Diceros bicornis minor: one gene and its partners. The protein of the gene in region 1 binds, or shares a complex with, the protein of each later gene. Links are inferred from orthologs where the notes say so. Each region holds a gene or a part of one and is shown in the gene's direction. Other genes may lie near its edges.

Region 1 (7,318 bases):
ATTTGAGAACCACCGTCTTAGAAGAATAAATGCTGACCATTTTTTTCATGAGAACATGCGTGTGTACTCAATCTATAGGCTTGAATAGCTGGGTTGTCTCTCTTCATGCACCTAGAAGCGATGTGTGCATAGGAGAGCGAAGGAAAGGAGGAAGCCCAAGCAAAGAGGGGGGTACTACTTGTAAATTCAAATTAGTGTACCACCCACCTCTCTCTCTACTTTGTTTTGTTCAAGTTGTGACTGAGGAACTCTGGTCATTTTTGGTCATGTTCTACCCCTGAGGAAATGTCATAGTTCTTGCAGTTGGAGACATCAGTTTGCAATATGAACACTCATCTTTCCTCTACTCATGCAACCAGAGCCTGAGCCACTCCCTCTGGAGCCCACAGGCTCTACCCTGAAAGAGCCTCAAAGAGCATCCTAGAGTCAGGGAGTGACTGACTGAGTTTCTGAACCTCTTCTTCCTATGGTGGGAGGGGTGACTTGACCAGGGGCCTGGTTGGGAAACCAAACTGGGTGGCTTGAAAGCGAGGCTAAAGAAGAAGGGCTCTGGCGGAGATGGGGTCAGGAGAGAGGGTGTGTCTTCGGAGATGCCCTTCTGCAGGCCTTACAGTAAGCCCCCTCTCCCTGACTCCCCACACCTGGAGTGTGAGGTCAGGGAATTAGGAAGTGAGATCAAGTCTCAACTTTCGGTTTCTGTACCCTTGAACAGCTTGGTGAGGTCCAACTGACACCTTAGCCAAAGGCCCAACCCCAAAGCAAACCAGTGTGTGTATGTGGTCTGGGGAGGATGACAAGGAAAGAGGTACTCTGGACAGGGTGCAAGCTCTTCCTCACCATTTCTCAGGGTTCCAGCAGAGACTGGATTTAAGGGGCCTGCAGCCTCCCTTTCTCTCTTTCCCCCATCCCAGCCTCAGAGAGACCCAAGGACCAGCTGTCCCCAAGACAACTCCCCTGGGACAAGAGGCAATAAACCTGAATTCCTTAGCTCTTCCTCCTTTTCTGAGTCAGCCCCCAATAGGTTCACAGGGAACCACGATAGGGTAACAAGCAAAACGCTGTGAGAAGGAAGAAGGAGGCCCTGAGCCACATCTGGGTTACAAAAAACATTTTGAATTTGTAGAATATCAGAGATGATTACATTCAATCACAAATAGTGAAATGCTGTCTGAAATCACACACACGCATATGTACATATTTAAACACACGGGATGTCCCTTCCAGGTATAGATCATTGGAAGCTGACAGCGGTAAACTGAAGCTAATAAATCAGAAGTTCTTCCTGTTGAATGAAAGAGAGGCTGTTGATAGTATTACAGACCTGGGCAGGAAACTCTGGAGCTCTGTTCTGGCAACACCTCTTATTTTACAACAGCTCTGAGCATATCGTCTTTTGTTACCTCCAGGTCTTTAATTTGCCTGGTGGGGACTGGGAGGTACCTGCCAATACTTCCACCTGTGTGCCCAATCACACCCCCACCCCGCTCTCCCAGGAAACTTACACTCATGTTTATTCCTTCTATTCTACCTCTCCCTCTCAACAGTCTTCCTACCAGATGTAAAATAGGCTTGTCTCTTTCTTCGCTGCCTGACTCCTAGTTATCCACCACCTCCATTTTCTCATCTCTTGTTTATTCCTCAGCCCACTCTAATTCACTTCTGGCTTTAACTACTCCAGGATTTCAAGCTTCCTCTTATATTTGATATTATTGATCACTCCTTTCTTCTTGAATCCCTGTTTCCTTCTACCTCCCTGGCAGGTCATTGGCAGGCTCATCCTCTTCATGGCCATTTAATGCTGAAGTTCCTCAAGCTTGGTTCCTGGCTGTCTTCTGTTCTTGCCCACTACCCTCTTTCCCTCAGGCCTAGGCTAACTCATCCATACCCAAGACTTCAAGTCATCATTATCTGTCGATGATTCATCTCTTATCTACCTGAGCCCAGCTCTGTATCTCTAAATGCCAACTTGGCATCTCTTTTGGGCAGATCAAAAGCCTTCAAACTACCTGCTCTCACCATCTTTCCACTCAAGCTTTGTCCTCCTCCAAGATTCCCATCTCTGAACCAGCACCAACATCTATCCTTGGCCGCAAGCCAGAAACCTGTGAGCTTTCCTTGATATCTCTCTTTCCTTCACTGCCCACATAGCCCATCATCAACTTCTGTGCTTTGGATCTCCTAAATGGTCTTCAGATCTTTCCTCTTACTGTTTTCATGACTATTACCATAGACCAAACCTCTACCATCTGTTATCTAGACTACTACATCCACCTGGCCTCCTGCCAATATGGAATCTTCAAGATGCCATTCTGACCATGCCACCCCCTTTGCTGAAGCATGTCAGGGTCTTCCCATTGCACTTAGGATAAAGACAAGATTTTCAACATGGGTAGTATGGCTGCACTAGGTTTGGTCCCTTTCCAGTCTTCCCAACTTCATCTCATAGCTCCTTCTTCCTTGATCTTCCAGCAGCACTGGCTTTTCCTCAATTTCTCCAACTCACCCTGCTCCCTCTCACCACAAGACCCTTGCCCACTAAGTTACTTCTGTCTGAAATATTTTCTGCCTAGTTAAATCTATTCTCAGTTCAAGAGGCAGTTCCTCAAGAAAGCCTTTCCTGGCTTTATTAATTCTATCAATTGGTTTCATAATACTGTGTAGCCATATCAATTTGTATTATAATGAGGTGATCACTTTGCATTTGTTTACTGTTACTATTTCCAAATTAAAGTGATTAAGTCTGTAAGCTTCATCATATTATTATCAGTGCTAGCACAGTGCCTGGCACAGAATGCATGCAATAAATACTTATTGGAGAAATAAAGGAAGGAAGGAAGGAAATAAAGAAGCCTGAGAGGGAGGGAGGGAATGAGGAGAGAATGAATGAATGAATGCTCACATTTGCGTTCCATTTCAGAATGACTGGAAATAGGCCAACCCAACATGACATGGGAAGATAGTCTACCTGAATTCACTCATTTATTCAATAAATATTTATTGATTCATTATTAAAGTAATGTACATTTTTCTGATTATGAACATAACTGTTCCATTTGGAACCCATGGAAAAATACCCAAAGGATAAAAGAGAACCAATTTACGTTTCATTCCACAGTCTAATGATGAACTATGGTTAAAATAATTTGGCATATTTCTTTCCAGGTTTTTTCTATGTATATATAGTATATAAGTAGGATCATTCTCTCTATATATAGACTTGCTTCTTTTTCTTAATGATGTATTATGAACATTTTCTCTTGTTGTTAAGAATTCCTCCAACACATGGCATTTAAATAGCTAAAATGTATTCTATTGCCAAGATGTATGTAGTTTAGACACCCTTCCACTCATTGCTGGATATTTAAGGGCTTGCCAATGTGTCACTTCTATAACAACATCTACACGCTTTGTGGGGTCCAGAAATAGCGTAATGCATGGAATCTGGTAGGAGGTGGATTTTGGGAAAACAAGAGGCAGCTTTTTCCAGCTGGTTGAAGGGAACATTTATTTGCTTGTGGGTTGCACCAGAGGTGGATTTTGGGAAAACAAGAGGCAGCTTTTTCCAGCTGGTTGAAGGGAACATTTATTTGCTTGTGGGTTGCTGGGCCCTGCGCAGGTGTCTTCGGAATGCACCACACTGTTGGTCAAGGTAATGAGCTCTTCGTCCCTCAGGTGTGCGCCCGGGGCCGGGAAGTCTGCTCCTCCGAGCAAGTTTGGTCTAAGCGCACCTCACCTGCAAACCCCGGGGCGAGGAGCCCCTGAGGTATTGGCTCCTACTAGCGGACCGCCCCGGGCCAGCCGCCGGGCACTCTGGCCACGCGCCGCCACGTGCCGGGAGCAGGGCGCCGCCCCCTCCGGCTCCCCGCCACGCCCCTCACACGCCGCCCTCAGAGGCTCTCTCCGCAGCTCCGCCTCCGGGCGACCTCCGCCAGTCCTCCCGGCCCCCAGAGTAGCCCCGCCCCGCAATCCGGGCCCCGGGGCCGCCCCGCCCGGCGGGCCGCTCGCGAGGCGTGGGGGCGGCGCCCTGCGCGATGACGTGGGCGGGCGTGCGCGGTGACGGCCCGCGTCCCTGTTACTCAGCGGAGCGGCCGAGGCCGGACGACGCGGCCCGGATCGCGGAGCGGCCAGCGGCGCTGGGTAACGGCCGCGGCGACCGCCCGGACGGCGCCGGTGCCCGCCGGCGGGCTCTCCTGTCGCCGTTCGCTGCGCTGCCTGGTGAGTGCGGCGGCCGTCGTAGGGCCTTGGCGGCCCGCGGCCCCGCCGTGTTTATGTTATTGTGCCGCGGCTGCCGCCTTCTCCCCAGCGGTGCCCCCCTCCCGTGGTGGGGGCGGGAGCGCGCGGGGCGGGGGGCGCGCGGGGCGGGGGCGGCGCGCGAACAATAGCGGCCCGGGAGGCGGCAGCCGGCGGGGGGCGTGGGGCTGCGGGACCCTGGCCCGCCGCGCAGCTCCGCCCGCCGGTCCTCGCGCGCCCTGCTTGTGCGGGTCCCGCGCCCGCGTCGGGAGGCGAGAAGGGAGCGGGGGTGGGTGGCAAGTTCGGAAGTACTTCGGCGGAGGCGCCGGGGCGTCCCGCCGCGCCCTAGTGCCTCCCGCGGCGGTGGCCCGGTCCCGGCGCCCACGGGGACCGTGTTTTGTTTCCCGGTGGTTTCTTTGTGCTGACGTTCTGAGCGAACGTAGCAGCGGCGCGGAACAAGGTTGGGGTGGCCTTCAGCTCTGGGCTGCGAGGGAGAGCGGGGCCTGGGGCTGGGGCGAAGGGTGGCCGTCAAGCTCGGCGCGAGCTTCAGTGGTCAGCGGGCGTTTCTCTGGACGGTCGCTCGGTGGTGACCTTTTGACTTTTTCACCCCACCCTCCGACCTCTTTGTCTTGCATTTGTGTTCCCAATCCTTAGGTGGTAGAACCAAGTCCGTTTTAAAGTATTGCGATGAACACTTTTAATTTTAATTTCTGCAAGTTCTCTATCAGATGTTTACTGTGAACTTGGTAACATGTTGACTGCGTGGTATCAGACGATGTTCGGTGGTTACTGTTTTTACCTCTGAAATTCAGTAATCGTTACAGTAGAATTCTGGTGTGTCAGTCCATTGTGTTTTGAGATGAGCATCCAGCAAATACCTCCTCGGCAATTAGAACATCATTTCATTCATTCATTCAGCAACTGTTCAGTACGTACTGTACTCAGATGGAGAGTTTGAAGATAAAAAGAAATATCCTTTAGTGGAAGAGGATGCTTTGACTGAAATATAATAGATGTGCCTTTAAATGAGACGGTTATGTAAGTGATGTGTGTTAAAAAAGGTATAGTTATACTCTGGGTCATTTTAGTATTTTTTAGTAGTACATCTGGAACTTATAGTGTAATGTTATATTAGGAAGTAGAGTTAGATTTGGTCTAAATGTACAACAGCTTTTATTTATTTGCGAATTTAATTTTTCAGTCTTACAGCCTTACAGTGATTTGTAACGTTTACCTCAGATTCCCCTGCTGTGGGTTAAGCCTAGGAGGTCAGATGCTGTAAGTGAACATGTTTAGTGCTGTGCCTGACAAAAGCAAGCCATCAAAATGGGACTTCCTTGAGGACAGGCCTGTCTTGCGTCTGTGTCTCCTCCAGCACCTAGCCTGGATATGTAGTAAGTGTTCAATAAAAGTCAGGTTAATGTAAAGCTCTTTACAACTGATAGTATTTCAAATCAAGCCTTAAAAAAAAGTTTAACGTTCTCTGTAAAGTTTTGGAAGCCTTGTGCAAACTGTTACTTCCAGATGGCTAAATGATCAGTTCATATGTATTATCTGTCACGACAGTAGGGGCTTTTGAATCATTTCAGTATCAATTTTTTTTTTTTCTATTCTATACTTTTAAATCCTAAAATAAAACCTTGTCTAAAAAATTTTTTTAATATGTGTGTATCTGTGTGCGATGTATATATAGCATTCATATACATATATATCTTGCACACAGACACACAGTGATATTTCAGTAGGGGTCTAAAATGATTGCATTTATCCTTTTGTGAATATTAATTGAAAAGTTTCTGATGACTCCTGTATTTTAAGTGGAAAAGCTAGAACAAAGGAAACAAGTTGCATAAAAGTTTTATTAGAAATGTTTAATTTCTAATAACATTTTAGAAATGTTTGTTGGTAATGTTTAATTTTAAATTCTTCATTGTACTAATACTATTGATGAAGCATACCATTGATGAAGCATATGGGCCTAAAACTCAAAATAATTGATTTATTTAATAAATAATAATAAATAATAACTTGATTTATCCAAGTTACATCTCTTTTCTACTCACTACTTAATGAATTTTGACATGTGTTTTGGAGAATTTCAGGTGAGCTCTTTGTTATCTGATGTAGAGTACAAATAAATAAGAAAATGATATTTTATTGAAATAAGGGATGAAAATCTTGAGATACCAAACTGTTATTGCTTTACCTGGTTAATTAAGGTATGTCAGGTTCCAGTAGGAGTTACTGATACAAGTCCTTTGGCAGTAGCTCACTGTCAGGCTACATGTCAAGCCAGAGTTTTTGTTTTGTTTTCTAAATTCTGTTGGTTTTTGAAAATAACAGCTTTATCGAGATGTAATTGATATACCATAAAATTTACTCTTTTAGTTGTGCATCAGTGGTTTTTAATATGTTCACAAAGGTATGCATTGATCACCATTTTCCAGAACGTTTTCATCACCCCAAGGAGAAGCCCTATACCCATTAGCGGTCACTCCCCATTCCACTCTAAATTATATTTAAAGGAAGAGATAGCACTGAGTCTCTTAGTAAGTACTATAGTATTCCGTTAATGAATTTGAAAAGGACTCCCTTTAAGTGTCCTGGCAGAGTAGGAAACTATGTCCTTCATACCACCTTACATCCTGGGAGAAAGGCCACTTGGAAAGGAAATTAGTTTAAGAATAAATTTTACCAAAATTAATGAGGTTGGAATCTTAACTATTTTCTCAATGTTTAATATTATGGAATTGACCTTGTGAAGATACTCAAGGCTCAGTGAAACTTCTTGAAGTAATTTGTTGTTAAGTATCTGGTCACCAGCTTTCCTAGTGGTTATTAAGAGGTTGTTGAATAGAAGCCTGACTCTTGTTGGTCTGCTTTGCCAGTGAGTTGAGTTTGACAAATTTGAGTCATCTAGATAGTTGAGATTCTTTGTTGCACGTGTGGAAGTATAAAATGTCTGACATTAAGAGGCCAGCTCTTTAGAGGTCTCTGGTTGAGGAGCTTTTCTGATTCATGTGGTACAAGGAAATCATTATAGCCACATAACTTTAGATATGAGTCATTTGCCTATTTCAGTGAGCTG
Region 2 (7,825 bases), on another chromosome or scaffold:
ATCTTCTAATTCTCACATTACATAGGTAAAATTTTTCTTCCATGAAGTTCCTTCGTAGACAAACTTTTGGAATGCTCCCTCCTACTCCGTCACAAATACTGCTCTCCTCCAACATAGTGTCACCTCTTTGAGGCAGAACTTGCTTCTTTCCAGAACTGTGATTCATTTTTATGGTGCCATGAGCCCTAGGACAGTAGCAGCAACTACGATCCAAAAAGCACAGCCAAGACTTAAATATAAAATGTCTTCTTCGTTTTGTGTGTGTGTGAGAAAATCTTTTGAAAATCGGTTAAAAGCTAGGGATCCACTCACAGAAAAACACATAGGCAAATATTCACAAAATTTTAGGGGGCTGCTACGCCCTCCGAAGCCCATCCATGTACTCCCTAGGAATCCATGAATCCTTGGCTAAGAACACTGGATTTGGGACAGTAAAGGGATCCCTGGAGATTAAATGATCAAAAATATTTCCTTCCTCTTGGAAAAGGGAGCTGCTAAATTAAATATTTATAGAAAGTTATTAACACTCTCTTTTCAAAACTAAATTATTATGCTTACTTACAAATATCCTCCTCATAAATCAGATCATGTACTAACCTGCTTACTCTTTTAGAATAGGATGCAAACTCCTTACCACGCATTATAAGGTCCTACATAGTCTGGCTCCTGTGGCCCGCATGTTATACTTTTGAGCTGCATTAGCCTCCCTTGTGCTCTGGGAACACACTAACTCTCTACAAGTCACTCTGTTTCTGCTGAAGAGTCTCAGAGTGACCTGTTTCCTCTGCCCAGACCCTTTTCTGGTTGCCATCCTTCAGGCCTCAGTTCACATGTCCCCACCTCATGAAGGCCTTCCTTCCCCCCTACCCTCAATCATTTGCCCTCACATCACCCAGTTTTCCCCCTGTATAGTTAATCCTGTCACAGTCCTGGCCGTTGATTTTGTTTGCTTATTGTCTTCAATCCCCACTAGAATGTTAGTTCCACGAAGGAAGCAGCCTTGCGTCTCTTATTTATAACCACATTCTCAAAGCCAGGCACAGGTATATACTGGTAGTAGGCACTCAATAATTATATACTGGTAGTAGGCACTCAATAATTGTTGAATGAATGATTAAACTTCAGCCAGGGATGGATTAAAACCTTAAGAAGCTCTAAGCACTAAAGATTATGGCATTCCTCCTTCATATTTAATTCTAAGTAAAAATTTTGGTGCTCCTCCCCCAAATTTAACTTAACTAAAAACAATACTAAACCATACACTCAAATGTACTGAAACGAAAAGAGCTTCTTTCTAGATTATCCGATTGAAAGACACTGGAGCCCCTGGTTTGCTGGTGCCCTAAGTATGTGAGCTCTTTGCCTCTGGGGAATCTAGCCCTCACTCACCCTTTTATTTTTTTATTTTTTAAATAATTTTATTTATTTATTTTCCCCCCAAAGCCCCAGTAGATAGTTGTATGTCATAGTTGCACATCCTTCTAGTTGCTGTATGTGGAACGCGGCCTCAGCATGGCCGGAGAAGCGGTACGTCGGTGCGCGCCAGGGATCCGAACCCCGGCCGCCAGCATCAGAGTGCGCTCACTTAACCACTAAGCCACGGGGCTGGCCCTCACTCACCCTTTTAAACATGCTGGAAGTAGTTTTGGTTAAGCTTGTCTATGCCCTCAAAAAACCTTGCTAGGATTTTGATAGAAATTGTGTCAAATCTATAGATCAATTTGGGAAGAAGTGACATATTTACTATACTGGTTCTTCCAATCCATGAATATAGTAAGTCACTCCAATTATCTGTCTTCTTTAATTTCTTTCATCAGCATTTTATAATTTTCAGCATACAGATCCTGAGCATGGTTTATTAGATTTACACCTAAATATTTCATTTTCTTTGGAGCAACTGTAAATGGTATTTATTGCATTTTTAATCTGTTTCCACATGTTTGTTGTTAGCATATAGAGAAAGTCTTTTAGTAGAACAAGGAGAAATGTACTCTTTAGTGAAGTAAACTTGTTCAATGTTAACTTGCTGGACTAGTAACAAGCTATTTATCCTAATATTCAAGTACTCCATAATGTGCCTCTAAATCTCTTAAATTTAGCCTAATTCTTAATTGATATACTCTAATCTCTACTACTATTAGAAGGGTCTACTGGTCCCTCACCTGAATACACCTATTCATTCCATCTCCATACCCTTGCTCGTGCCATTCCCCCTCTAGAATAGTCCTTCCACTGAGCCCTTTGACCCCAAACTAAATCTTAACTATCCTTCAAGGAGGAGGTCAAAGCTCTTGAGAAGATGCCTTCCCTGACAACCCCAGCCTACAATGCTCCTTGTCTCTGCTGGGCTCTTTTATTTATTTATTTATTTCCCCCAAAGCCCCAGTAGATAGCTGTATGTCATAGCTGCACATCCTTCTAGCTGCTGTATGTGGGACACCACCTCAGCATGGCCAGAGAAGCAGTGCGTTGGTGCTCGCCAGGGATCGCAACCCGGGCAGCCAGCAGCAGAGCACACGCACTTAACCGCTAAGCCACGGGGCCGGCCCATCCGCTGGACTCTTTTAACCAGTACTGTATGCCATCAATCATTAATTTAGTTTTTAATTAGTTTTAATCTATGTCTTGTTTCCCTAATTAGATGATATACACTGGGGAGGCTCCCATAATAGCTATCATAGCCCCACATACATGTAAGGCACAATTTAATTGTTGTATAAATGAAGAGAAGGGAGAGAGATGTCAAGATGTGTCAAAGTAAGGCTACTAAGCTGCAGCATGTAAAGGGTGCGCCATAATTCTCTGAGTCTTTCATCCAGGCAAGATCCATGCTCTCAACCTCTAGGATAAGGGTTCTCGCTCTTTTCCTTCCTTCCCGCCAAATGCAACTCTTCCAACTAAGCAGATTTGAGATGCAGATCCTTTCCAACTGCCTCTTAGAAACTGTTCTAAAAACAGCAGGTCCACGGTTAGCAGAATTTTAGAGGTTTACTCGAAGAGCACAGGAAATCTCACTGAAGCTGCAGTAACAACCCTGGCCACCAGAGGACAGGGGGCAGCCGGAGAGATTGCTTCTCCTCAGCAGTCTTAAAGAGGTTAAAGGCAGGCGCAGAACATCGGCTCTGCATCTATGGCCTTCAGACTGCTTTTACAGTCTGAAGTGCTCAGCAGTCTCCGGTCTCCAGATGGGCTCTTTCTCCTTCTCCAAAAGATGGGCCGGAAGTTCCCAGAGGCTTACCCCAATACTAATCTTAAATGATGGTCAATAATAACGAATGCCCTTCCGTTGCGGGATTTAAAGGCGGAAAAGAAGCATGGAGCTGTTTTTATCTTTCTAACCTACCCTAAACCTGCTTCTCAGTTCTTTTGCCAATTAAAAAAGTTCCTCAGGCAGTGTCCAAATGGACATTCGGCAACAAAGATGCCGTTAGGGACCAACGTCCCAAATCCAGTACATTGCAAATGGAATATTTTAGGAGCTAGGTTATTCCTACACATAAATTCTGGCTCACGGAGCAGTCCGCTCACAGTGTGCTTTTCCGTCATTAATCACATCTTTGTTATGTGATATCCACGTGAGTACTTCTCAGTAGAAGCAGCTTCATGCTCAAATGCTCAAAGAACACTAGAATAAAGCTCTGATTGTCCTATTCAGCGATTCCAAGTCCTGGTTTGTCACCACCTCAGGTCTCTAGGTTTCCAGAGTGTGTAATGTAGTCTCAAAACAAAGCTGTTTTAATGAATCCAAATAAGAAACGCACGAAGCGTGTGGAGTTAAATCAACTGGGTCTTGCACCTCTCAAGAGGCAGTGAACCTCTGGTCTGATTTCAAGATGCTTCTGGGCTGCCCGACGGAGAAAACATTTTTAAAGAGAATTTTAGGCTGCCCATACTCATTAAATCTGTAAATATATGCAAAGTAAAATAATAGAAGTTAGGAATATTCAAGTGGGGGCTTTCGACAACAAACACATATAGATGGCTGAATACCTGACAGCACTCGTGTGAGTTTTCTTAAAGTACCTGTAACTCCTCTTTCCTAGGAGATGGCAGTGCCCTGCATTTTGGATTCGTCAGACTATTGCAAGAGCGACTGTAACTCTCTCAAATAATTGTTTGCGTTTCTTCACGCTGGGGAGGCAGCTGGCAACAGCCCAAGGAGGAGGCAAAGGCTCTGCGTCTCGGTGGGGGGCACCCTGAAATACCTGTTGGGGCGCAGCGCTGGAGGCGCGCGGCCGGGGCGAGGACCCGGGCCCGGGTCGGCGGGCGCGCGGGCGCGGAAGGAGGAGGCCGTGGGGCCGCCTCCCCGGGCAGCCCCGGCTCCTCCCAGCGGCGCCTGCGGAACCTGCCTCGGAGTCGCCGAACTCTGGAACGGAACGTGACCCGAGCCCGCCCCGAGCTGCCCAAACGAGGCGCGGAGGCGCGCTCGGGGCTCGGGCGGCCGCGCGGCCCCGCCCGGCGCCCACCGCCCTGCCCTCGCCTGTCTCCTCCTTTCCCCGGGGCTCCGCTGAGTTCATTCACTGGGATTGGTTTCAAGTGACGCCATCTCTTTATTTTTAAACCAATGACCTCATCCGCGCTTGAAGTTTCCTGACCAGCGACTCTTTCTCTTTCCCCCCAACCCCCCACCCCACCCCCCCGCCTTTCCCCCTCTTTCTGCGTATCGCTGTTTGGGGGGCTTTCACCAGTTTTTAAACGATTATTATCACCTCTCCCTCCCCCCTCCGCTTTCCCCACGCGGCCCCCCACCTTCACCTCCCCAAGTTCTTCACCCCTTTCAACATTGTTTTTTCAAGGCTGATGGGGGGGTAGTGGAAGAGAAAGAGTAAAGAAAAGTTGCAAACGTCTCTTCTCTGCCTAAGCCTCCCGCCCCCACCCACCTCGCAGAGAAGGAGAAGATAATATAGTGAAAAGAAGAGGAGGAGGAGGAGAGCGCGACGGGACGGACGCGGGCGCGAGCGCGAGCGCAGCCTCCCTCCCGGCTCCGCGGCGGCGCCTCGCCACTCCGGGAGGCGCGGGGGCCCGAGGGGAGACGCCGTGACAACTTTCGTTTCCCCCAGACGGCGTCGGGAGGTCGGCGGCCCCCAAAGTAAGTGGCCTCGGGCCGGCCGCGCGGACCGTGCGGGCGGGAGGGTGCGGGGCTCGCGGCGGCAGCATGGACGCTCCGCGGCGCGCCCGACTCCGGGTGCCCGGCGCCGCGCGCTCGCCCCGCCGGCTCTGCCTTCCCCGGCGGCGGCTCACCTCCGCGGAAGGCGGGGTGGGGGCGACCGCGGCCTGGAGCCGCGCGAGCGTTTGAGGCGGGGGTGTAGGCCCTGCTGGGGGCCGGCCCGAGCGGGAAGGGGGCGGGCAGCCGGGCGCGGGGTCTCGGTCCGTGCGCCCCCGGCCGCGCGGCGGACAGCGGGCCCAGCGGCCGGTTCCCGCCGCGAGGAGCCGCCGCCGCGGACGCGGTCCCTTCGCGGGCGAAGCTGCTCACTTCCAGGCGCGACTGTTACACAACACTCCTGCCAAGTGGGGCCCCGGCCTGACTGTTCCCATTATCCCCAATTCGCCTTTGGTGTAAGCAGCGAGGCCACCTGGGTGGTGACGGTGCTGCTTTCTTAAACCAAACCAGCCAACCAACCAAAAACTCGGTTTGCATGCTGGGGCCAGGCATGGTGTTGGGGGGCCCGGTGCGCCAGTGACTTCTTTATTTACACTAGCCGTACAACGTGAGAAATAAAAAAGCCCGGGGAGACAGCCGAGCGTCTGTTTATCATGTGTAGTTTTATGTAATAAAACACCAGGGAGGAAAGTATTTATGAAAGGCTGAGTTTATTTCCTAAAAAAAAAAAAAAAAACCTGGTAATTAATTTGAGAAAATACAAGTAGATCTTAAAATGAATGGATAGTGCAAAATCCTGAAAAAGTTTATTAGACGTCAGCTGCAAAGATCCTCAAGTCCTGGGTGTCTCAAATTGTTGGGAGTAAGCACACCTCCAACCAGCCTGGGATGAATAAAGGGGAGAGGAAAAACCTGTTGCATAATCTCATTTGCCGTGGGGTTTGCTGTGCCGTCCCCTTGAACCAGGGGGAAGTGAGTTAAGATGCAGGGTTTTTAAAACTCTCTGAAGTTTTTATTTACCCAGTGCTCTGGCTGCTACTTCTGTGTTAAAAGATTATAAGTAAATACTCTCCTCTTACAAGTGAACCAAACCTATCAAACCTGTTTAGAAAATGACCAGGTATGTTTCTTGTCTTTCTTTCCGGGGTGTGTGTGTGTGAAATTTACCATCCATGAAAGACCTTATGACTGCTATTTGGGGAACTTAAGACTGTCAGAAAAATGCGTCTTTCTGCTACGCATTTTATGGGGCTGATTGAGAGTGCACATAGGTGACAACTGTTTCCTCGAGGATTTATACTATTTCCAACTCCGTGAAGAAAAGAGATTTTTTAAAGTTAAGGTAAATTTTTAAAATAAGAAAAAGAATTCTCACCAGTTGTTACTTTTTAAATTGTTTACTTTTTCTTGAGAATCATGGATGTTGGCGATACACAGCTTGAGAGGCGGTAATTAATTGAGACTTGTAGAGTTTTGTATTTGGTGAAGGCAGCAACCTGAAGAAGTAAATTGAAAAACTAAGAATTATGGCTTTGTGTAGGTATTTTAGTCAAAATGTGACTGGGCACTGTGCAAGTTTTTTGTGTTTTCAAAATAAAGTGGAATTTACTGAGTTTGAGGACTGTGTGGAAGGTTGCTGTTAAGATTTTTTTTATTTGGTTAACATCTTATGTAAAAATTTAGACTAAATAACACCACCCAGCCTACAAGTTGGTTTTTAGGTAAAATCATTTATACTTATCAAAGTTCCATGTGGGGGAAAAATTAAAAGTGAGTTTATCCTTAATTCTGTTGGTAATATGATGAATAGTGTATGGAAAAAAGTCGGTTCAAGCACTATAAACCTACATTCAGATGTAAAATAATGGAGTACCTATACAGTAAAAATAGTCATGTAAAATTGAAGATAAGGGGTCTCTCTGCCCAGAAGCTTTAATGGCAGTAACTGAAAAGGGGGCAAAAGAGAAGATCCTGTTAACCTAGTTCTTTTCCTTTTTCTTATACATTTAAAACCTATTTGTGGAAGTGAGGCTGACGTCAGGTTAGGGTTGGCTGTGATGGGTGCAGAGTTTAGGCTGGGGTCAGGAGAAGAGCCAGGATTTATGTGTGAGTTTGTTTTGATGCTATTTGCTATAAATGCCTGTACTGGGAATTTAATTCCATAGAGTTTTTGGCCTATGGGATTATATATTGATGAAACTGACTTAGATGGCTGTCCAATATTAATGTTTTCCTATTTTTCAACCAATCGTAATATCCTACTAAATATAATTTGCTAGAATTACTAGTGTAATTTATCCTACAAACCAACTTTTCCTGGAGTCCTAAAAAAAGTGGAGTTTTCTATCCTGTGTTATTTGGACTAAAAATTTCCCTGGACTTTTAATGTTTTTAAAATGCTTTGCGTTCGCAAGCAAATGATACTTTAAATTGAAGAAGTAAATGAATATAGGATAAGCTGATTTGGATCAGAATCCCGAGAAAAGGGAGGAAATAAATCAGGAGAAACAGAAACCAGATTTTATGACAGAGTTCAACAGATTGAAAAAACTAATTAAAAAGGCTTCATAGGAAAAGCCACAATTGATACTTGATTAATTTTTTTTTAATTAACTATCAAAATTTAAAACTGAGACAGATATCTACCATCATAAAAGAAAATGTTACTAATGTTGGCTTAAGCAAAAACATAAGAAGGTAAATCTTGCCCAAAGCCACATGATA
Region 3 (7,747 bases), on another chromosome or scaffold:
GCGAAAATGCACAGGCTCTTTCCCCGAGTCCAGAGCAGACATAAGGGATGCCCTGGAGTATGCTGTTTTGTTTAGCTACAGACAAACAGAAGCTATGTCTTATATATTAAATCTTCCCTTTTCACTCCATTTTTCTATATATACATTTGCACAGCGTTTAAGCACTTTTTTTAATTGATGCCATAATAGTTTATAACATTGTGAGATTCCAGTTGTACATTATTATGTCAGTCACCATATAAATGCGCCCCTTCACCCCTTGTGCCCACCCCCCAACTCCCTTCCCCCTGGTAACCACCAAACTATTCTCTCTGTCCATGTGTTAGTTTATATTCCATATATGAGAGAGGTCATACAGTGTTTGTCTTTCTCTGTTTGGCTTATTTCACTTAACATAATACCCTCCAGGTCCATCCATGTTGTTACAAATGGGAAAATTTTGTCTTTTTTTATGGCTGAGTACTATTCCATTGTAAATATATACCACATCTTCTTTATCCAATCATCTGTTGACAGACACTTGGGTTGCTTCCACATTTTGGCTATAGTGAATAATGCTGCAATGAACATAGGGGTGCATAAGCCTCTTTGGATTATTGATTTCAAGTTCTTTGGATAAATACCCGGAAGTGGGATAGCTGGATCATAAGGTATTTCTATTTTTAATTTTTTGAGATATCTCCATAGTGTTTTCCACAGACGCTGCTAAGTAGACTTTTTATGAGCAATAACAGATTGATGGATTAACAATCACATAGTACTTCTAAATAAAGTGGAAATGCCACATTCTGTGGCATTTGGAAGGTTTGAGAGCATTTAGAGGCCACTATAGTTTCTTGTAGTATTTGGTAATGGATACTTTTTCAATAGAAATGAGTTTTCTTCAAATAGCCTCTTATATCTAAGGAATACCAGTTTTATTCAGAAGTCATGCTGGGTTCTTAAAGGAGGTTCACCAGATCCTCACTAATTTTCCTAGGAGTAAGTTGAGTAGAGCCAGCCGTCGTGGTCTAGTGGTTAAGATTCGGCCCTCTCACTGCCAAGGCTCCGGGTTCATTTACGAGTCAGGGAACCACAACACCTGTCTGTCAGTTGTCATACTGGGGTGGCTGCATGTTGTCGTGATGCTGAAAGCTATGCCACCGGGATTTCAAATACCATGGTGGATAGGTTTCAGTGAAGCTTCCAGATTAAGACAGACTAGGAAGCAGAATGTGGCCACCCACATCTGAAAAAATTGGCCACAAAAACCCTATGAATAGCAGCAGAGCATTGTCTGATAAAGTGCCAGAAGGTGAGAGGATGGCGCAAAAAGACTGGGCAGGGTTCTGCTCTGCTGTACATGGGGTCACTAGGAGTCGGAATCAACTCAATGGCACTAACAACAAATGTTGGGTAGATGCATGTTTGGAACAATAAGACAGGCAAAGAAGCGGTCTGGAAGAAGTTTCCTGCATTTTGAAAGAGAAGATTCTAGAGAATCTTAGGGCTGTTGGGGATATTGAGGAATTTGGAAGCAAGGGGAAAAAACTGAAAAGCAAAGCCTTTTATGAGATGTGGATAAATAGTGAGACTTACAAGTTCACAGGATCAGAACTGAAAATAGTAACTATATTCATTTTGTTTACACTGAATGTTTTCTTCATTTGAGAAAAGCTACAGTAAAGGAACTGTTGTGGAACTAGAAATATGTAGATAAAGTCAGGACCTCTGCTAACTGACAGGCTGCCGACATGCATATATAACAGATTTGCTTCCTCTCCACCTGTTTTTTCCCCTAATCTCCTTTATATTTTCTTATTTTAGGTATACCATCTCTTTAGAAAATTAGCCAAAATTGCATTCTCACAACAGAGTACTATTTGTATTACTAAATGATTCTTCTCTCATCTAAAAGGATTCCTGAAAGACTTTCTTTATTTTTTTTTTATAATTTTATTTAGTTATTTTTTTTCCCCCAAAGCCCCAGTAGATAGTTGTATGTCATAGTTGCACATCCTTCTAGTTGCTGTATGTGGGACACGGCCTCAGCATGGCTGGAGAAGCGGTGCGTCGGTGCACGCCCGGGATCCGAACCCGGGCTGCCAACAGTGGAGCGTGCGCACTTAACCGCTAAGCCAAGGGGCCGGCCCAAGACTTTCTTTAAAATAACATATTCCTCTAGAGCATTATGTAGATAATTAACAGCATACTTGACAACAGACTGGAGAAGAAGGGACGAGGAGGAGAAATTAAAAACCAGACCAACTGCCAACTGAAAATGAACCAAAACTGGAGAAAAGACTTTCAAATTTTTGACATAAGAGAATGGAAAATAATTAGTTTTAAAAATCTACTCTAATTTTAAATGCCATAACATTTATAGTTCTTCATCTCACAGTAGACATTTTGGGGGATGGAGAGAAGCACCATTTTAGGGAATGCATTCTAGACCTAACAATTTTGTGATCTGTCAATCGCACATTTTGTCCATCATCATGTTCATCATCAGTAATCTGAGCTGCTGAGGTTTTAATAATTAGTGCTAAATAATTAGTGCTACACTACACTAAGCACTACTACAGCTTTACTAATATATAGGGATAGTACTTTCATTCTAATTTGAGAAGTAAACAGAGCTAATATTTGGCTTCTTTCAGGTCTCTTGAGTAACGAAATTAGTTTTAAAAGAGGTGTGAGTTGGCTCACATACATGTATACAGGCCAGAAACCTGTTAAAACGTCCAGTGCTATTACAATTTCATTTTTATGCCAGATACCATTATTGAACTGCAGGTTCATTAACTCTCAAATACTATCCCCCACAATCTTCCAATAATTTCAGTTTCACCATGGTTTGGAGATAATGTTTGAGAGTTCATTTTATGTTAATATACAAAATTTATTCATAATCTTGTTATAGACTAGAAATCAGCACTTAATAAACGGAAAAACAAGGCATTGAAAAAAGTTTGCTTTTTTTTTGGCTGAGGAAGATTCAGCCTCAGCTAAAATTTGTGCCAATATTCCTCTATTTTTTAGTATGTGGGCCGCCAGCATAGCATGGCCACTAACAGAGCCGTAAATGTCCACACCCGGGAACCGAACCTGGGCCACCGAAGTGGAGCATGCTGAACTTAACTACTATGCCACTGGGGCTGGCCCAACTTGCCTTTTTTTTAATAGTTAATGCAAATTTCCACAGAGGCTCCTGATCATACTTTTCAACTTGTGCCAGTGTGTATTTATTGAAAAAGCAATATCCCTACACTTAACACTGAAATCTTTAAGTTGTATAGAGAATCGTAGAGCAACATTAAGAAGAAACATTTTCAGCAATGTACTTCTTTCTGTGTTTTTAGGAGTGTCTCTATGTCAACTGCAGAGTAGTAAATATGGTCTTTTTTGTCCCTCAGGTTAAATTAACCAAATAAACTCCCCCCTCCTTCTTTTTTCAAAGAGCTACTTTCAAAGCTTCACAGACATTTCATTGGCATTATATTGTGGAAAGAGTGCCATTTCTATGCCATAGTCTAATTTGGTGTCCTTTGGTCCTCTCTAAAATGTTAATACAGAGTTGTGGATGTTTTAAAGGTTTGAAACTATCTCTACTAAAATTGATATTTTTAAATGTATAACTACTAAGTAAACGAAAATTGATAAAATAGGATTCACCATAATATGGAAGATTTTTCTCTTAAAAACAAGCCTTGCGCTATTTTAAATTACAGTAATCTAGTGGAAGTCACTGTATTTCCTTTTGGTAAGTTACTTAGAACATAACTATATGCTAATATCATACACGGTACTAGGCGTTTAGAAGCCGGAAGAATCAGTCCCGTTACAGTTTAGAAAAATTCGAACAAATGCCATTCAGAGTAATGGCTTTTTCTTTTCTTTTCAGAACTGACTTATCTTGCTTTCCCGCTTTGGGCGTGTAGCGGGGGTTGGGGGATAATTTCCGGTAAACTCCGCCTCTTCCAAACCTCAGCTTAACCGAAGCTCCCCTTCTCGGGCTGCAGGGTAGCCAGAAGACGGGTTTAGGCGCGCGCCTCCCTACGCTTTACCCGGCTTCCTACAAGGGCCGGGACGTGACAGCAATGGAAATACCGAGCTCCCGGGGAGGGACTCGGAGGACTCGTCCCGTTTTCTCTCCCGCCACTAGCAGCATTCCTAGAGTTCACTTTCCCTTCCCGCACACCGTCAGGCCCTTCCGGCGACCTCAACATCCACCTGCTCCAGCGCCCGCCTCAAGCGGCTGCCAATCACAGGCTTCCGCAGGTCCTTGGTTACGGAGGACCAAGGCGCTCTGGTCCCGCCCCCTCCAGAACTGCTTCCCGCCCTTCGAGCTGTTGTCCAATCACCAGCACCGAGTGTTCTTTGGTTCCCGCCCCCTCAGCCCCGCCCCCTTGAAATCCCGCCCCCTCCTTTAAACCTGACGGACTCGCTTGACCCGGAGGCGCTTCGTCTGAAGTAAGACAAGAAGCGGCGTGTGCGTGGAGGGCAGGGACTCGAGAAGAAAGGGGGGATGCCGGGAGTGGGGCGGGGAGAAGGAGGTGTCAGTCCGATCTCGCGAGAGAGGACGGAAGCCTGTGGGAGCCCGTGGCCTTTAAAGTGCGGTTCAGCCTTTCCTCCACGGGTAGTTTGTAAACACGGCTGAGCTCGGGCCTCGCCGGTGACCGAAAGAAGCATGAACTAGTGACCTAGAGAGGTGAGTAGTCATGGGGAGTGCGCCGCAGGACTGGAGACCGTAGGGATACAGAGAAAGAAGGCACTAACATGGCGACGTCGCTCACCATAGTCCCCACCCCCCGCTTCCTATCACCTCGGGCGCGCCTGCTTCGGTGCCTAACCCTCGAGGCGACTGTGGCTGAGCTGGCACTTCAGCGGCCGGCGCGGCGTCGCCTTCAGGAGCCCGACTGGCCGGGCCGGACCGTTAGGTAACGCGTTCGTTGTTCCGGCCCCTCCCCGCTCGCGCGCTTTCCTAACGAAGAGGAAAGGGGAATAACGGCTCCTCTTAGACCCCTCCTCCCGATTGATCTTCCCCTTCTCCGGTCAGTTCAGAGGTCCCTAGGGCACACGTCGATGCGCCGAGGGCGCAGGGAGACCCTCTCTGCAGTCCTTGGATTGAGCAGGAAGAGGGCCGGCTCTGGTCTCCGCACCCAGGACTCAGACGTTGGGGACTGTGTGTGTGTGTGATGGTGGCGGGGAGGAGGATCCGGAGGCGCGGCTGGAAATAGGGTCAGGGTCTCTGGCTGCGGTGAAACGTGATGGAACAAATGGTATGGAGAACTCTCGGCCTTTTCTGTCCTTTCTGCCCCCTCACACTCCCGCCACCCCCGCTTTATCCCCGTGGGCGGGGCTGAGGTGTGGGTGCAGATTGATTCTAGTATTTTCCCCCATTCTTTTACCTTCCTGGGTGGACTGCAGAGCTAGTTGTAGGGACCAGAGCAGAGAGAGGGACAGAGATCTATATTCGCTCGTGGAACCGACGCTAGAAGGAGGGAGAGGGCGGAGGAGATGGGAACTGTTTTTGTGCCCTTAGGTAGTATGAAATTGTCTTTGCTTAAGGAGTCTTAAAACTGGTGAGGCCAAGATCAAAACTACTGTGAATGTGATGGAGTAAAAGGGAGTACTCCTGATGGACCCTAGGCCTACTGACTAATTCCTCAATTAAAATGTGAAAGTTAACAGTTTCTTAGGAATTTTAAATAATGGAGACGGTAGCAGTGCATAAACTTAATGTATATATTTGAAATAAGCACACTTTTTTGTCCCATTTGAAGAAATTCATAACCGCCGGCATTGTCAGTAATAGCGTTTCTAGGTGTAATCTTTAAATAGCTATTTATCCTTGGTCTGTTGTACCAAAACTATGAAGGCGAGAAGCTTGTTAAATAGCCCTACAGGGTTAAGTGTCCTGAAGGACACAGACAGTAGCAGTTATATCTTGTAATAAAATTTGTTATACTGATTTGAGGAATCCACTCTGAACACTTTTTTCAAAACTGCAGGCACATAGTTGTAAAGTATGCTCAAAAAATAGAGATGTCCTTCTGCAGATCAAGAAAGAGAATTAAGGAAGTTCGTGAATCTTTAAGGCCGTCAATAAATGAGTAACAATTAAGAATCCTAGTCTTTGTGACTTATAAGAATCTTCCAAATTTACAGTGGTGTGTATGCTGCATGCCTAAGACATGTTTAATCTTGCTTTGAGAGGATGCGACTACCATTAGGTTTTTAATTATTTGAAGTATAATATTGTGGTAATTTAGAAAGTAGGGTTTGTATTTTAATTAGTAGGACAGGAGCTTTCAGGGACTTTTGTAGGTGTGTTTTTAAGGTAGATAATTCCTGGTGAGGATCTGATTGCATTTCCTGGAAGTTCTTTTTTAAATACCTTATTAGAAGGTGTATTTCATATTTGGGGCATTATCATTATCTATTAAATATATAATTCAGAAATTCCTGAATTTACTTTTTTTACTTAGAGTATTTGTTTCATATTTTTAAACTAAGATAACAGTAGAAATGATCATGTCAGCTCTTTAACAAATAATTTGGAGGTATGCTTTTTGTTGCTATTCAGGATTTGAAAGCTATATGAATATCATTTAAAAAAATGATATGCTGTACATCAAACATCTACCTATAACTAGCATTAACTCTCAAGAAATCATCTACATTTTTTCTGCCTAAATTTTTGTATTTTGGAAAAGTTGGGTTTTAATGATTTATATGTTCTCTGCTGGTGAATTAAATGTAGATCAGGTAAACAGTCCCCCATACATGCTATTTCCACTCATTTTGTCTTCAAGCTCTTCCTTCCAATATGAAATATGTCTGTAAGCAATTCTTTCTCTTTAATATTCTTATTGTAATGTCCTTAGAGAAGAAAAAGTAGTTGAAATCTCCCTATTTAAAACCAAATTTTCCCCAGAAAGTCTCTTGTTTAAAACCCAGGGAATAATAATAATTGGATATTCAACTAATCCTTATAAAAATCAGTACATACAGTACTTGTTATGCTATTCTGTGTAATTAAAATGTACTGTAAAAAAATGTGCATTATTATAGTCAGTAGTTTAACTTAGTATTTCTGTGTTTATCATATACTCACACCTATTCCTTGAGGCTAAGAATGTATCTAAATTGCTGCATGTTCTCTTTAATTCTCTCTAAATTGTTAATGATGAGGTACTAGTGATAGTATTCACCTATTTATATCTAGGGGAAAACCCCATGAAACATTTTATCTCTTTTGTTCTGTTTTTTAAGTTCAAGGTTACAAAGTTAGAGTAAGGTATAGTTTCATAGAAATTTAAGAAAGTTTGTGGATCTTTAAGGCCAACAATAATTGGAATTACTTTACATATATTATTATAAATATATGTTATTGTAATTATATAATTATAGATACAGGCATTTGTTAAATATGTTATTTTCATTTATTCTTTTTAATAACCTCAAAACTGGTATATTCATTTACCTTTTATGTACTATGTCTAGTGATGCTTTTTTTTTCTTCTTCTTGGCATTTTGGCAGTGGTAGTAAAGTGACTAAAAACATTTTTTGCAACAAGAAGTGATGTAAACAAACAGAATGCTTTTGGGGCTAGGCCTGTTCACCCATGTCTGCATTCTGTATCTTAACAAAGATAGTGGTTCTCAACCATTTTTTCTGTCTTAATACCTAAGGAATAGAAAACACTCCCAACAGTAGTAGAAGCTTATTACCACAGAGACTCTTAGAAAGATTAGTTGGGAA

Evidence for each region.
Region 2: the proteins of MAPK8 (region 1) and DUSP16 are in contact, whole or in part, in a crystal structure (PDB 4YR8), measured with the Homo sapiens proteins. The link is inferred for Diceros bicornis minor from reciprocal best matches to the Homo sapiens genes MAPK8 and DUSP16. Residues at the interface, in NP_001310257.1 of Homo sapiens: Arg189, Val196, Ile197, Leu198, Gly199, Asp229, Ile231, Trp234, Gln253, Thr255, Val256, Thr258, Tyr259, Val260, Asn262, Arg263; in NP_085143.1 of Homo sapiens: Phe215, Leu267, Asp268, Tyr271, Lys275, Pro279, Ile281, Ser282, Pro283, Asn284, Phe285, Asn286, Leu288, Gly289, Gln290, Leu292, Asp293.
Region 3: the proteins of MAPK8 (region 1) and ATF2 are in contact, whole or in part, in a crystal structure (PDB 6ZR5), measured with the Homo sapiens proteins. The link is inferred for Diceros bicornis minor from reciprocal best matches to the Homo sapiens genes MAPK8 and ATF2. Residues at the interface, in NP_001310257.1 of Homo sapiens: Asp112, Ala113, Gln117, Val118, Met121, Glu126, Arg127, Tyr130, Leu131, Tyr133, Val159, Lys160, Ser161, Asp162, Cys163, Val323, Trp324, Asp326, Ser328, Glu329; in NP_001243019.1 of Homo sapiens: Phe36, Val44, Lys48, Met51, Thr52, Leu53, Lys54, Phe55, Gly56, Pro57.

What each region holds. Positions count from the first base shown.
Region 1 is NC_080745.1:12,136,870-12,144,187, forward strand, and holds the start of MAPK8 (mitogen-activated protein kinase 8), read left to right. Parts: upstream 1-4,133; 5' UTR 4,134-4,215; intron 4,216-7,318. UniProt on the Homo sapiens protein: Serine/threonine-protein kinase involved in various processes such as cell proliferation, differentiation, migration, transformation and programmed cell death.
Region 2 is NC_080756.1:48,331,511-48,339,335, forward strand, and holds the start of DUSP16 (dual specificity protein phosphatase 16), read left to right. Parts: upstream 1-4,634; 5' UTR 4,635-5,089; intron 5,090-7,825. UniProt on the Homo sapiens protein: Dual specificity protein phosphatase involved in the inactivation of MAP kinases. Dephosphorylates MAPK10 bound to ARRB2.
Region 3 is NC_080749.1:55,976,078-55,983,824, reverse strand, and holds the start of ATF2 (cyclic AMP-dependent transcription factor ATF-2), read left to right. Parts: upstream 1-4,556; 5' UTR 4,557-4,690; intron 4,691-7,747. UniProt on the Homo sapiens protein: Transcriptional activator which regulates the transcription of various genes, including those involved in anti-apoptosis, cell growth, and DNA damage response.